Drosophila melanogaster: one gene and its partner. Changing the gene in region 1 together with any one later gene gives a genetic interaction. Each region holds a gene or a part of one and is shown in the gene's direction. Other genes may lie near its edges.

Region 1 (4,747 bases):
TTTTTTGGACTGAATCGTAAACACTTCGTGGAATTAATTATCTTTAGTTCTAAAGCCTCGTGAGTTTATTTCGAAACAAGGTCTCATATATGTTCTGCATACTTTCCGGGCGTTCTGTACTTTAGGAAATTCGTTACTACGATAGTATGAAGCCGAGTCACTAGTTCAGATAGAACCAAATGGAGTGAGAAAGCTATGCGAGCTAAGAAAGCTTGCTGGTACATGCTGTGATTCTGTGGAGGACTGAAAACATTTCTCTTATGGTGTCTTAAGGTATGCAACACAAAATTGCATTCACATTTATATCTAGGGTTTATATTGGTTTTTCATGTAACAATTTTATTTGCATTGAGTTACAATGTCATGTGAGTTGGGATTCCCATTTCAGCCCCGACGGCGCTGCTGGCGCTGGCGCTCCCTCCTCTCACGGCGTCTCTCCTGGCGTCTCTGACGACGTCGGTAGCGACGACGCCTCTCCTTGCGGTTCCGCTTGGATGACGAAGAGCTACTGCTGGAGCCGGAGGATGAGGAGTCGCTCGGGGAGGTGGACGTGGTGGGCGATGTGGAGGGCGAGGTTGTGGAAGGAGACGGATTAGTCGAGGATGAGCCAGTTGAGGTGCTGGGGCTGCCAGAGGTGGTTGATCCCGTACTTCCGGTGCTGCCAGTGGCCGTACTTCCGGTGCTGCCTGTACCCGTGCTTCCGGTGCTGCCAGTGCCCGTGCTACCGGTGCCCGTGCTCCCGGTGCTGCCAGTGCCCGTGCTACCGGTGCCCGTGCTCCCGGTGCTACCGGTGCCCGTGCTCCCGGTGCCCGTGCTCCCGGTCCCCGTAGTATCGGTGCCCGTGCTGCCGGTGCCTGTGGTATCGCCACCAGCATAAGCGGTCGCCAAGATGGCAATAAGACCAAAGGCCAGGACGAATTGGAATCGCATCTTTAGCTCCGTCCGTTGAACACTGTACTCAAGTACTGTACTTTCTCTGCATTTAATTAGGGTATTTATACGCATCACCCACGATTTTTTTGGTTCATTTTCAGACTGTGTGTTTGCTCCGAATCATCATCATTTGCCGCACGTGGCTTAGTAGGATATTCTTGAGACAATTTGGCCGATGACTATCGAAAATACATTTGTTTGAACAAGTCAACAATGGGGGAATTGTGGATTTGTTAGATCTAGTTTATTCTAAGCAAGTGTGCAAACACAGGCAGCTCGGGTATTGTTTTGAGTTCTACTGAATAGCTATTCAGCCATTCTAGCAGTGCTTTAGCACTCGGCCTTATTTAAATAACCGCAAAACAGATGCGTGTTTGGTTCATAGAGATTTTGAAGGATGTATAAAAATAATATAAGATAGCAATGCCTTGAACGCAGTGGAGTTCGAGTTTTACTAAGGTTCAAGAGATAGGCTTATGGCGGGATTTTGACTCTTTAATGGAAGAGGTTCGTGTGATTAAAGCTGAATTAATAATTACTGAACTACCATAAACAGTTCTAAGGAATCTATACAATCTTTCAAAATGATTTCGAAATCCAATTTCGAATCGAAGCGAAACGAAACGGTCACACTGCTTAACAGTCGCGCCGCGAGACGTTGCCACCCGGCTAATAAAATACCAACGTTGCCGCTCAGTGGTATTCCCGCCTCGGCCGTGCACTGGCCACACCAGCCACCGCCTTCGCTTCGCCGCCCGCCATCCAAATTCGATTCGTTGGTGTTTTTCGCTGCGCTGGTGTTCGTGTGTTCGCGTTGGCGCTGTCATCATCATATCGTATCGCATCGCTCCGCTCCGAAAACCGTGGCAATTGTCTGTTTTTTTACCTGCCAGCGAGTGCGTTTCAGTTGCCCGCCAACCGGCAGGAATCGCAAATTCACGTGCGCCACTCTCCAATTGGACGAGTGCCTTTAAAACAGTGCAACAAGTGGTTTTTACAATTCTTACCAGCATTCAGTTCAAAGTGCCTAACAAACACACGCACACACATACGTAACCTACCTGACCAGCGCGCATATGTGTGTGCATGAGTGTGAGTGATACAACAACAATACAATAGCAGCAACACAGCTACGAAAATAACTAACTGCTTTCGTCGCAGTTTTTCTGCAAGTGTATGGGTTAATTGCGCCGAAAAATGTTAATTAATTGAAGCCCAATTGGAAATCGCCAGTGGCAAGAAAAGCTGAAACTAAGATCTGAACGCAGATCTGGTGAGAAATCCCAAACGCGAGGATCTGTATCGCGTGTGTGTCAATCGGTTTAAATATAGATCAGATCACAAGTGCACTTAAACAAACAGAAGGGAACGAAACAAACAAGTGATTAACCGACAGGTAATTACAGCTGCTCTTCTTTTGCATATTTTGCGCGTTTTCTCTGCCAGATATTATTCGCTTCTCCTTTATTGTTTTACCTTTCTTTCGCTTCTAATAAGACTCTTCTTTTTATCGGTGTGGCTGGAGTTTCTTGTTTTGCCACCCATACAATCGCACAAATACCTGTACAGCACATACACTCACACGCGCACAGTTATTGGCTGATTGGAATGTGTGTGCTTTGTTGTTGCCGTTCTCAATACATATTTGTTGTCAACGGTTTCTGCTTATCAATTGGAAAGCACGAACACAGCTACACCTGCACTTCTTATTGGCTTGGGCAGCCCTCCTGTTGGATAACAATAATGAGTGGCAAATTCTGTTCGGCCTGGCGAAAAATAGTAATATGCACTCCTGGGAGGGAGCTGGCGCTTTTCATTTTCCATTTCCGCTGCACATTTGTACCTTTCTTTCTGTGTCAATCACCTGTTCTGCAGCGCTGACACTTTTCACATGCCAATCGGCGGCAAAAATCAGAGGCAGCAACAAACAAATTAAAACGTGTTATATATACCCTTAGTCCCGTCGAGGTGCCAACTTTTGATCGCCAACTTTTGATTCCCACCGAATTCCATTCGAAAAGTCCAACCAAATCCCATTGTGCTCAGAGTCTTATTTGCACTAATCCCATGCAAATTCCAATTGGCGCGTTCCCATACAGACCAACATCGCTAGATAGAAAATCGTCTGGCGATCTTACGGTAATTTGATTTTGTAGATTAGCTCTTGCTTTTAAATGAAAGATATATAGAGCAGATATATTATGATTATTTACTTTCGATTCGATGCTAAGTAGTAATTGTGGCTTAGCGAGTTTTCACTGTTTTCAGTCACCGAATCTGGCGGTTTCGAAATTCTCAGCTGGCAACACTGATGCCAATTCGCCGTGACGTGGACTCCTTCTTTCGCCGCACAGTCAGCTGGCTGAATTCGCCGGTGTTTATGTTGTGGGCGCAGGAAGCAGGAAACTGCCAGTTGATTTCAAACTTTCAAGCGGCGCGCAAGGACATGCCGCAAGAGTACGGAAGTCGCAGCTCCTAGGAACGGTAGCAACTCCTTCGTACGTGTTTTACTCGCTTGAGTCTGTGCTCCTCAATTATTCACGAAGCAAAACAAAGTTTATGGCTCTGCAACTGCCCGCCGTTGCCTCGAATATTTTCAACTAGTGCAAGGCGAGCTACAAAAACAATGCAATGGCATGGGACAAGTGTCGAGATAGCGAGTGAGACGCACATAGCGTGCAGGAAAGAGAGAGCGACAGTGGCAAAGTGCAAATGTATTAAATAAATAACGAAACGAAGCTGTACAGAGAGAAAAAAATCATGTTGATTATGAACCATCGTAGAGTAAAGTAAAAGTGGGCATGCGAAAGATTTTGAGTAGGGTAAACCCTTGTTTCTCTCAGTGTCATCTAATATGTGCCTGCGGTTTGGCTACTTTCTGCCCTGTCTTTTGCTTTTGGCCGGCTTTCTTGGCGCATTGCATAAGTGTTGGCCATTTCACCTCACTAACGCTCTCCCCTTCCTCCTCCTTCTACCCGCAGATAAGCAGCCAACGTGACGTACTCGGGCGGATTAATAATTGAGCAGATAGCGGATAGCAGAGAGCAGCTAGCAGATATCAGATAGCGAATAGCGGACACAGCAGGCCCAGCAATGGAGTCCATGGAGTACGAGATGGCACGCAACATGACGTTGCTCTTCTTCCTGGAGCGACTGCTGGACAAGGGCGAGCCCCGCACCGTCCACGACCTGTCCTGCCAATTCGGCAACAAGGAGTTCACCAAGGAGATGCGCCAAATCGCCGGTGGCAGTCAGTCGGGTAAGTTCGCACTAACTAAGCCAGCACTTAGTAACTACACTTCGCAACAAGCAAATCCATATAGCCAAAATGCAACTGAAATAAAAATGAAGAGGCCTGCTATATTGATTGAATTGAAAACAGCTCTCTTTAATCAAAAAACTGGATCGAATAAAGTCAAGGAAAGTGCGCTGAAAATGCCGTGGCATTCAATTCATGCTCTCATTTGAAATGTCGCCAGCCGAGCCTGGGAAATTGGAAACGTGTGCGGTGGAAAGCGGTAGTGTACAGTGGACATTGGACACTGAACGGTGGACACTCTTGTTCGGCTGCGGTACATACATATACAATACATATTTGTGCACCTGCGGGTTTGCGTTGTTCGTCACAGTCACAGTCGATGATTGTGTTGTTCATGTTGCCTTCGAGTGGTCGGCGTCCAAGTGCACATGTCATTGCCGTTTCCATTTCCATTTCCAATTGCAGTTTGCCGATTGCCAGTTGCCGCAGGGGAGTCAGTCAGTCAGGCCTCCTCATTTTCCATCTCCCGGCTGATCTCAATGCCAAAAACCACAA
Region 2 (4,030 bases), about 14 Mb from region 1:
TCCGCCGGCGGACACTTTCGCCTAACCAAGCCAATCCAACCCATCCCAATCCAATCCAACCCACCCGATCGCCATAAAGGGTATTTACTGTCGCTGCCGCAGAGCCTCGCTTGACGACTTAACCCAAGCGGTCGTTTCGCGTCCATTCTCCGGACGGAGTCAAAGACAAAGGCCGGCGGAGGTGGACAATAGGCAAGGTTGTTGCTTGTGGGTAGGGTTTGAGCTATGAGCTATGAGCTGTGAGCTGTTAGCCCTGAACCCCGAACCTCGAGAATTGAACCTTTCCCGGGGCAAGAAGGCTTGCATGTGGGCCTTTTCCAGGTCGGCCAGTAGGTAGAGTTGTTGCGATGCGGCTATGCCGGGCGAGTTAATGCCAATGCAAATTGCGGGCGCAATATAACCCAATAATTTGAAGTAACTGGCAGGAGCGAGGTATCCTTCCTGGTTACCCGGTACTGCATAACAATGGAACCCGAACCGTAACTGGGACAGATCGAAAAGCTGGCCTGGTTTCTCGCTGTGTGTGCCGTGTTAATCCGTTTGCCATCAGCGAGATTATTAGTCAATTGCAGTTGCAGCGTTTCGCTTTCGTCCTCGTTTCACTTTCGAGTTAGACTTTATTGCAGCATCTTGAACAATCGTCGCAGTTTGGTAACACGCTGTGCCATACTTTCATTTAGACGGAATCGAGGGACCCTGGACTATAATCGCACAACGAGACCGGGTTGCGAAGTCAGGGCATTCCGCCGATCTAGCCATCGCCATCTTCTGCGGGCGTTTGTTTGTTTGTTTGCTGGGATTAGCCAAGGGCTTGACTTGGAATCCAATCCCGATCCCTAGCCCGATCCCAATCCCAATCCCAATCCCTTGTCCTTTTCATTAGAAAGTCATAAAAACACATAATAATGATGTCGAAGGGATTAGGGGCGCGCAGGTCCAGGCAACGCAATTAACGGACTAGCGAACTGGGTTATTTTTTTGCGCCGACTTAGCCCTGATCCGCGAGCTTAACCCGTTTTGAGCCGGGCAGCAGGTAGTTGTGGGTGGACCCCACGATTTTTTTGGCCAAACCTCCAAGCTAACTTGCGCAAGTGGCAAGTGGCCGGTTTGCTGGCCCAAAAGAGGAGGCACTATCCCGGTCCTGGTACAGTTGGTACGCTGGGAATGATTATATCATCATAATAAATGTTTTGCCCAACGAAACCGAAAACTTTTCAAATTAAGTCCCGGCAACTGGGTTCCCATTTTCCATTTTCCATGTTCTGCGGGCAGGGGCGGCCATTATCTCGCTACAGCAGTTCCCAAATGGTTATGGCTGGACACCCCTGCCGCCGCTCCAACGGGGTGGATGAAGCCCCCAAAACCCGAAAGTCATGGCAGCCATGGCAGTGTGGGGCTGTTAAACGTGCGGCATAATATTAAGACTTCATAAAAGCGCAAATAATTCGCTGGCAGGCGATCGATAATACATACATACAAATATATAGTGGGATACACACACTCTCTGCCGGCAAACACACACCACCCGACCCGACTGAGCGGCATAATGCCATATCATTCTTGATGAAGCCGATAAAATCCCATTATTAAGGGGGCCCGCCCGTCCCGCTCGCTCCTGCGGAGCAACCGCCTGCGGGCGGGCGAGACAAAAGATTCGCTCATCCGCTATGAATACCAAATCGGAACTCTCTCTCTCTCCAGCTCGGGAGTGCCATGGCCAGCATGGCCAGGACCTCCTCATGGTCCTGCCGAGCAGAGAACGCGGCTCCATCCCGCTGCTCCGGGTCCTGCTCCTCCGCTTTGTCCCGCCTCGTTATCGCCGCTCAGCACCGAGAGCACAGCAGCGCATCCACTCTCAGCACCGCACGATTAGCACCGTTCCGCTCAGGCTGTCCCGCTCGCACCTGCCTGGGTCGCTGCGATTGGCCGCTCCCAGCGACGGCGGCCATTTGCCTGCAGAGCGCAGCGGTATAAAAGGGCGCGGGGTGGCTGAGAGCAGCACACTCGAGCTGTGACCGCCGCACAGTCAACAACTAACTGCCTTCGTTAATATCCTCTGAATAAGCCAACTTTGAATCACAAGACGCATACCAAACATGCACGGATACCGAACCTACAACATGGAGAGCCACCATGCCCATCACGACGCCAGTCCCGTGGACCAGAAGCCCCTGGTTGTGGACCTCTTGGCCACCCAGTACGGCAAGCCCCAGACACCGCCTCCCTCGCCAAATGGTAAGTTTAAAGATAAAGCCGAGCAAACGTGACGAGTTACTTACACCCAATCTTTCCTCTGTCCAAAACAGAATGCCTATCCAGTCCGGATAACTCCTTGAACGGCAGCCGCGGCTCGGAGATTCCCGCCGACCCGTCGGTACGCCGCTATCGCACCGCCTTCACCCGTGACCAGCTGGGTCGCTTGGAGAAGGAGTTCTACAAGGAGAACTACGTGTCCCGTCCCCGTCGCTGCGAACTGGCCGCCCAGCTGAACCTCCCGGAGAGCACGATCAAGGTGTGGTTCCAGAACCGCCGCATGAAGGACAAGCGTCAGAGGATCGCCGTCGCCTGGCCCTACGCAGCCGTCTACTCCGATCCCGCCTTCGCCGCCTCCATCCTCCAGGCCGCCGCCAACAGCGTGGGCATGCCCTATCCGCCCTACGCCCCCGCTGCTGCCGCCGCTGCTGCCGCCGCCGCTGCCGTGGCCACCAATCCGATGATGGCCACCGGAATGCCCCCGATGGGCATGCCCCAGATGCCCACAATGCAGATGCCCGGACACTCGGGACATGCCGGCCATCCATCGCCCTACGGACAGTACCGCTACACGCCCTACCACATCCCCGCCCGCCCGGCGCCGCCACATCCCGCTGGTCCTCATATGCATCATCCGCACATGATGGGATCCAGCGCAACGGGATCGTCGTACTCCGCCGGTGCCGCCGGCCTTTTGGGCGCTCTGCCCTCCGCCACCTGCTATACCGGACTGGGTGTGGGTGTGCCCAAGACCCAGACGCCGCCGCTGGATCTGCAGTCGTCGTCATCGCCGCACTCCTCCACGCTGTCGCTCTCGCCAGTGGGATCCGATCACGCCAAGGTGTTCGACCGCAGTCCAGTGGCTCAATCCGCTCCATCAGTTCCTGCTCCCGCTCCACTGACCACCACCAGCCCGCTGCCCGCTCCAGGCCTCCTGATGCCCAGTGCCAAGCGGCCTGCCTCCGACATGTCGCCGCCGCCGACGACAACTGTGATTGCGGAGCCCAAGCCGAAGCTCTTCAAGCCCTACAAGACTGAGGCGTAAGCCCGCGATCCACACACACTCTCTCCCCCCCCCCCATGCTCCCCCAAAAGATTGTACAAACTAGTCTTAGTCAGCCTCATCTATTTATTCCCGAAGATTGTACAGATTGTAGAGTAGCTAATTGTAGTCATAATTAAGGCGCAAAATCAAATTAAGAAATAAATGCGAAAATAACATTGAAAATTATACGACACACACTGTTTATTTGAACTACCTGGTACCTGGTATTATCTACATATATATCAACATATATTCATATACCTGAGCTGAATCGCTTTTATGGACCTGGCTCTCTGGATTAGCTGTGGAGAAACCTGGCGGGACAGCTGCGCTGCTGACTGCTGACCTTCCCAGGGAAACTGTGGCAAATCGAACGGAAGAGCGGCAGAGCGGCAGAGCCGCAGAGCGTGCCGAGTGTCCTTCGGAGTGGCCACCCACAATCAGGAGTAAGGGTTCCCGATGCGGCACCGGCGGGGAAGGGAACAACATCCACGGGGGATTGGCACAAGCCAATGGCTTATTAATGCGATCCGAACGGATCCAAGCGGGAGGGCCCATTGCAAATGCAGAGCCACCCCGCTGGGCGGCGACCTTGGCGAGGAGTTGGGCCCACTCCCTGCCACGCGTCAGGTTGCATTGCCAATGGAATCAATTTCGGTGTCCTCGGATTGCATTGGGCTCGGCTAATTAATTGTCACCTCACCCGTTGAGTGACTTTTTTGTTTGTTGGTC

What was found. A genetic interaction does not mean that the proteins touch.
Region 2: of egl (region 1) and eve, changing one enhances a phenotype caused by changing the other (phenotypic enhancement), as found in Drosophila melanogaster (one study listed by BioGRID).

What each region holds. Positions count from the first base shown.
Region 1 is NT_033778.4:23,743,782-23,748,528, reverse strand, and holds the start of egl (egalitarian), read left to right. Parts: upstream 1-1,699; 5' UTR 1,700-2,329; intron 2,330-3,344; exon of another isoform or gene 3,345-3,431; intron 3,432-3,914; 5' UTR 3,915-4,026; coding exon 4,027-4,192; intron 4,193-4,747. Other genes in the region: CG13560 (uncharacterized protein), read right to left, coding at 385-930.
Region 2 is NT_033778.4:9,977,319-9,981,348, forward strand, and holds eve (even skipped), read left to right. Parts: upstream 1-2,000; 5' UTR 2,001-2,096; coding exon 2,097-2,235; exon of another isoform or gene 2,236-2,266; intron 2,267-2,306; coding exon 2,307-3,298; 3' UTR 3,299-3,477; downstream 3,478-4,030. UniProt on the Drosophila melanogaster protein: May play a role in determining neuronal identity. May be directly involved in specifying identity of individual neurons.